2 linked regions of the Schizosaccharomyces pombe genome follow. The gene in region 2 interacts genetically with the main gene of each other region. Each region holds a gene or a part of one and is shown on either strand. Other genes may lie near its edges.

Evidence for each region.
Region 1: mutations in SPOM_SPAC24B11.14 (region 2) and SPOM_SPBC1348.10C together harm fitness more than expected from each alone (negative genetic interaction), as found in Schizosaccharomyces pombe (one large-scale study listed by BioGRID).

What each region holds. Positions count from the first base shown.
Region 1 is NC_003423.3:25,642-29,943, reverse strand, and holds SPOM_SPBC1348.10C (phospholipase), read left to right. Parts: upstream 1-1,571; coding exon 1,572-3,524; intron 3,525-3,588; coding exon 3,589-3,657; 3' UTR 3,658-3,789; downstream 3,790-4,302. UniProt on the Schizosaccharomyces pombe protein: Catalyzes the release of fatty acids from lysophospholipids.
Region 2 is NC_003424.3:228,566-231,672, reverse strand, and holds SPOM_SPAC24B11.14 (uncharacterized protein), read right to left. Parts: upstream 1,129-3,107; coding exon 992-1,128; exon of another isoform or gene 931-991; coding exon 874-930; exon of another isoform or gene 844-873; coding exon 537-843; downstream 1-536. Other genes in the region: hem3 (hydroxymethylbilane synthase), read right to left, coding at 1-18; dnf2 (phospholipid-transporting ATPase), read left to right, coding at 2,990-3,107.

The DNA.
Region 1 (4,302 bases), on a different chromosome or scaffold from region 2:
TTTATACCAATATAGGAATATAGTATGAGTAGATAATTCGTGAGATTAATATTTCTGTAAAAGTTAAGTTTATGTCGCATAATGTCGAGAAGCAGAACGGCAGTATAAAAGCGATACTAAACGGCGATTAGCAGTAAAAGAATATTCAACAATAATGTTAATTTTTTAATCAAGCAAATGAGAAAAAAATGAATCCAAAAATGATTAAATATAAATGCAATTATTAGCACTATCATTTTGAAACAAGTCCAAAACGACGTTGGCTACAATGACAAATATTAGAAACAGCATATTCTTGTTCAATGCTTATAGTTGGTAGTCATGAGTAGAGAATATAAATACAATGCACACGATGTAGATTTGATGTGGGTAAATGAGCAAGTAATTATTGATCGTGGAAATGAAATACGACCTATAAGCCTAAAGCATAATTGATCACTAAAAAGTGCTCTTTTATCTCCAACTTGAAGAAAAAGTAGAACAAATAAAAAGGCATCACAAGCTGCCATACAAAAACTATCAAACTTTGTTCAGCTAAATGTTTTGTGCATAACGATGATTAGGAAATTAGTGTGGAAAAGTTACAACCTTATGTACTGTTTCGGAAAGATACAGTAAAACAAACAATTCAAGAGAGATCTAAAGAGACAATCAGGTTAATGGCCTTTAATAATAAGAAATTACCGCGATGTACAACTTAAGCAGGTGTGACAAAAAGTACAAATGTACGTTCGAGCAATTAAAACTACTATTGACATATCATAAAATAATGTCAAATGTTGCAAAAAATAACAAACAAATTTGTTTTCTCGAGGTCAAGCGAAAAGATATTTACATGTATGAAAGTCGAATAATTGTGATAATAGCGAGGATTTATGAACAAAGACTACTCGAAAATACAAAACTTATTTCTCCCTAGTATATGAAGATCAAAATAACTTAAGCTAGTTGAAATGCATGCAATGTGTTAAACGTGGAATCATGAATTCGCTATGCATTTTATTGGCGTTTTCTTTTTCGTGTATCCGCGCTAGTACACTAGATTACGTTGCCTCTCACCATACATCGAATGTCCCTACTATCATCCTCCTACTTATATTTATAATCAATACGTGATCATCAGATCATTCCCTTACACGCTCCCATTTCAGATTATGCATCGTAATACTAACAAACTATTTTGTATAAGCGAAGTAATTAACTCCATTCGATGATGAGCGATCAGCTTCTGGTATTATTGTTCGCATACATATCTTGTAACATTTGTTACTCAATAGAAATTTAAGGTAACATTGATCATAAAGTAAAAGCTTGCCGTACTAAATTGTATCCGCCTAACGTTTGCGAATTTTGCAGCAAGCATTGTTTCGTATTTAAGATCACTTTTGTAGACAGATCTTGAGATAACGCGACAAATTTTGGGGCTTTTAAAGTTCGGAATTCTTTCTTCCGGATCAGAGATGTGTAGTGCGCCAGAGTAATATATGATTTAATATTCTTCCGTGTAGTACACTTTTCCATGCGAACTTCAATTTTTACAGCTTTTGTTTGAACTTTTTTTATTTTCTGCAATGTATGTCAACTATATTGGACTCTTTGCTTTCGTTCAAATTTCGTTGACGTTAGCTTATCCTCCCGGTCGTGTGGAGATTTCTGAAATATATGATTTTGAAGAATCTAGTTCGTATAAAGGACAAGATATTGATACATCCGTACTTTACACTTTGTCTAAAAGGAAACCTGCGCTCGTAAAACGAAGTACCGACGCTTCGTATGCCCCTTTCAATGTGACCTGTTCAAACGACAATCTGTTGAGGCCGGCTTCTGAAGGTTTAAATGAGGGCGAACAGAGCTATATCAACAAACGTATTTCTAAGGTTAACAGTGAACTCCGATCATTTATTTCTAAGACAGGTTTGAATGTTGACTTGGATAAGGTGGTTAACAGCTCGGATGGTCCACGTTTAGGAATTGCATTCTCAGGTGGTGGGTTACGGGCGATGGTTAATGGAGGTGGTGCATTCAATGCTTTTGACTCAAGATTCGAGAGTGACTCTCCACTTTCTGGTCTGCTGCAATCCGCGATGTATATCAGCGGTCTTTCTGGTGGTTCATGGCTTGTTGGATCAGTGGCTATTAATAATTTTACGAATATAACATACTTACGTGATAATGTCTGGAATTTGGAACATAGCGTTTTTGCTCCTCATGGGGATAATGTCATTGAAAATTTGAATTATTATAATGACTTGCGCAAAGAAATTGATCAAAAGAAACATGCGGGCTTTGACTGTTCTTTGACGGATTTATGGGGACGTGCTTTGTCCCGTAAACTTGTTGATGCTGAAAGGGGAGGACCAGGCATTACATATTCCAGTATGAGAAATCAAAGCTGGTTTCAAAATGCTGATTATCCTTATCCCATCATCGTTGCGGATAGCCGATTAGAAGAAGAAACGGCCATCCCTGCCAATACCAGTATCTTTGAGTTCACGGCGTATGAATTTGGTACATGGGACAATGGAATTAAAGCATTCATTCCAATGGAATATGTGGGAACTCACTTGTTGGATGGGGTTCCACCCGATAAGTCTTGCATTCATAACTATGATAATGCAGGTTTTGTTATGGGCACTTCAGCTACTTTATTCAACTCTTTTCTTCTTGACTGGAATGAAAATGTCAAAAAGAATGATACCTATTACGATATTCTTCATGCGATTCTTGAAGATCTTTCTAAGCATCAAGATGATATTGCTCCTTATCCCAATCCTTACCAAAATTATACTACTTCCAATACCTCTGTAGTGAATGCGTTCGAACCGTATGATACTATTGATCTAGTTGATGGTGGTGAGGATAGGGAAAACATTCCCCTTTGGCCTTTGTTACACCCACAACGATTTGTGGACGTTGTATTTGCGATTGATTCGACTTATAATGATCCTTATGGTTGGCCCCTTGGATCTTCCATTGTTGCTACATATGAGAGAGTTGTAACCTTTAATGCGAACAAGAGTGTTGATGTGCGTGGATTTCCATATATTCCGGACGAAAACACTATTATCTCTTTGGGACTAAACACTCGTCCTACGTTTTTTGGATGTGACGGTAAAAATACTACAGCAGGAAATCATGATGTAGACAATAATACCCCACCTCTCCTTGTATACTTTCCAAATTACCCTTGGACTTATTATTCCAATATATCGACATTTACTATGAGCATGGACGACAAGATGGCTAATGGAATTCTTGAGAATGCATTTATGTCGACTACGCAAAACAATAATGAATCTTTTGCAGTTTGCTTAGCATGCGCTATAATTCAACGCTCTTTGGAACGCAAGAAATTGAGTACTCCTACCCAGTGCTCTTCTTGTTTCCAAGAATACTGTTGGGACGGAACTCTTGCAACTAGTACGGCTTCTGTATATGATCCTACCGTAATGTCTGCTGCGACAACATCTCGTGCACCGTCAGGCACAACCTCGGGTACAGCCTCTAGTACAACATCTTCATCTGTATGTTCTCAAAAATTCACGTTGATTAAACTATTTTTTTTTTCATCGCTAACTTTTGTTCTAGGTAGCATCAGCCACTCCCACTCATAAACATTGGTGGGACTCGATTTTCGAAGCGAAAGAAAATCCGTAAAAAGATTCCATTGATGTTGTTTCAATGGATTCTCAGGCATGTGAGAAATTTAGAATAGATAGATTTACCTTTATTGTACTTGGTTACGAATTCGTTATGAAAGAGAACTAAGGATTTTCCTCATTCGTGAGACTGCTCAGTTAAACCCTTTACGTTTGATGGAGCTATGTAAACGGGTAAATGAATAATTTGTTATCTCTAAACTTTTTTAGATAAATGCAACCGGTCGAATGGATGAACAGGCTTAGTTGGCTCAATCTGAGATCGATGTGCATTCACGTAAAGACACGAAACGAAAGAATGTAAGCATGAAAACGATTAAATACAACATTGCTTTAAATTGATATATACGTACAATTGGGAATCACAAGTTGAATGAAAAATAGTCCAAGATCGTTGTGCTAATGATGAACATTAAATGATAGATTGTTTTAAAAGCTCCCGGTTTTTTAAAAAATAGATAATAATAAAATTGACTACAAACATTTAAAAGTAAGACAGAGACTTGTTAATTCAATATATGAGGAGTCACTACTAAATATTTTACTGTATTTTGAAACTTCCTAAAGGAAGGAAACTAAATAAATGCTGAAAGATTTATCAACAGTTTGGTACAAAAAACAGTAAAAGAGGAATATTCAATTG
Region 2 (3,107 bases):
TGAAGTACAGGATGGCATATTACAATTAATTAGAGAATGTACAAAACAATGCTCAAACTAATAAATCTCTTTTTTTAACGAGGGAAAAGGGAGATGCAAATGTACAGAACTTTTAAAAACAAAAACTTTTGAAAGCAAACGATGTTACCAAAAAACAAGGGTGCGTGAGCAGAAGGAGTGAGAAACCCGCCAAATATAAATGTGTAAAGACTCGATGAAATAAATCAAAAAGGAAGCAACTTGGTTGGACGAAGAAATAGCCTTTGGCGCAACGCGGATACCGAGAAACCAAAGTATAATATTCTCAACAAACTTGAGAATGCTGAAAATTCAGTGTTTTGAAAGAAAAAAAAAAGTAAAATATACAACTAAAGGCTTTCTAAAACATAAGATTAAAAGGAATTAGAAAGAGAGAATTGAAAACCTTCAAGAAGAAATTTTTAGGTTGCTAGAGAACGGGATGCGTTTGTCAAGAATTCGCTCAATTAAAAAAAGGCGCCGGTTTTTTTTTCACTCTTCCACCAGTAAGAAGAGCGCTAATTGCGCAGCCCGCAAAATTTGTAGCGAAGTTTGCTTTGACTTGCGTTGATAAGCCCAACTATCTCACGTTCCTTATCTTGTGCACAACGATATTTCGTTAAAATACTATAAGTAGTATACGGGACAATGTCAAAATGTGCAAAAACTGTATAAGGTATCATTGAATTCGGTAACCTATTTAACGGGACTTTCGAATGTGTAACAAAATATAGTGAAATATAATTATAATACCTAAAGTAGGATTGCACGTTGCTAAATTCAACATTTACGATGTATCGTTGGAATCCAGCAACTTTAACCAAGCTATAAGTTTAGAGTATGTTTGTTAACTACATGTCAACAGAGGTGGGAATTATAAAAGAACTCAAAGCAATTTTGGAACGGCGATTGCTGCAAACTAGATTAGTCATTGTATTTTCTAATAAAATCTTTGAACCAAATTTTTAAATACAAAAGCTTTAATTGCTGATTGATATTTAACCCCCTATTTGAGTTCGCATATGGTACAAATGTCCATGTGTTGGAGCAATTCCTCAACGAAATGAGACGCAGACATACATGCAATGTTTTGTGATTGTATGCAAACATTGTCGTTATGCCTTTGGAATTGTTTACGCGTTAGTCGCGAAAATTATTCTCTAGTACTAGGAAAATTGCTTATCGTCACAATTTTTTTATTGCCAGTGTGAAATGACAGTTTTCTAATAAATTTCATTGATTTATTGAACCCATATGTTAGCAACTCTCTTTTCCCGAGAAGGAACTGCACAGCCAGTACTAGATGGACAAGTCACCGCGACAACTGGGAAAAGAGTGGCTTGAATAGTCACGGTTTGACTGAATAATTTTCGCGCTTTTCATTGAGAGTCACGTGAACGCTACATTAGTCGCCATTTAATTTTTATTTGTTACCATGTTTTAACGGATAAAGGTCCATTGTTGTTTCTCCAAATTGGGTTTGTCTCAACATACGGATGTATTAGGGCGACCATTTGTTGATGCACTGAGCACCAATTTCATTCGGCCTACACATTCTCTTTGTTTACTTTTTGGAACTAATTATACGTTGGTCTCTTTGCGTTTCGGTAATGTTTTGTTTATGCTGGTAACATTTTATAATGTTGAAATTGTCAAATACTCTGTACATTAAAGACTTGATTTCGAAATTCATCTTAAAAGATCAAACCTAGATTCGCGGATTGTTTACAGTTTCATCTTAACCGCACATTCGCATCCACCAGCAATTATCTACACGTGATTTTATGTTTCCGTGAATTTAAAAGATCTAGTAAAATGTAACAATGATGGATAGCAACAAATTCGATTTCATTAAAATCATAGGAGAGCATTCAGTCACGTAAAACTCGCACCCACTATCATTTAACTAGCCATGCGCTAATCTTAAGTGAAGCAAGTTCACTAATAACAACCGTAATAATCTATTACTATGCTCTAAGCAACAATTTGCTTGCTATTTAGCAAATGAATACTACTGTTCTTTTACCGATTTGCAACGGCAGCCACGTCTGCGCCACTACATTACCGCTATCGGTCAGTTAACGAGAACGTATATACAGTTTCTTATGGCGTTTAAACCATCTACATTCATCTGCATTATACAAAATAAAATCGAAAAATTCAAGCCGAATGTAATGTTTTCGGCTGTAAAGAGTGCGCCAATAGTGCAAACCTTTTCTTGTCCTAAAACTCTTGGTTCAATGGGAACGCGTAAGTATTTAGCAGTTAGTAAGTAAACGGATTTTGCTACTTCAAAAGAAAACAATGCAACCATGACGTTGATATTTTGGAATAACGGGATAGGAATGAGCAAGTTGTTTTGCAACTCTATGTTACTTAACGAAGCATAGGTGTTACTTTGAAGGGTTGCGAAAGTCTGACCACAACCCAACACAGTTTTTACAAAATTCGTTTCAATTCTTTGATTCTGCTGTAAAAAATAGGTTGAGAGCGTTTTTATTATACGCCAAGTAAATTTTTTCGAAAAATCCTCTTTTCGACGCTTACTCTTTTCTTAGTACTAGGAGGCTGCACATAAAGCTTCCTTTGTTATCTTAGTCTCAGAAAAAGGGCGTTCTTTTTATTTTACATTTTCGTTGCGTCTCCATATTATCCCATCAAATATTGGTACACGCCTTTTATTTTCATTTTATATCATCTTTTTATTTTATTTTATTTTTCATTTCACGTTATTTACAAGCACATCGTTTTACTATTCGGTTGGGGCATCGTTGATAGATTTTTGTGTTCTCGGTATTTGTAACATCCTCTTATCCGTACCTTTTCCAACACATAATCCCCACATATCTTACATTTAGAAAGCCTATATAAATTATATCTTCATTTGTTTAGGGCCGTCCCTCTGCATTTGACTCTTGGCTTTAATTTAGTTTTCTCCTCATTGACTACAGACCACTCTCCTTGAGGTCGGATGGAAAGTGTTGAGGAAAAATCAAAGCAAAGGCGCTGGCTTCCCAATTTTAAGGCTTTACGGCTCAAAGTCTACCGTTTAGCTGATCGTCTGAATATTCCTCTTGCTGATGCCGCTA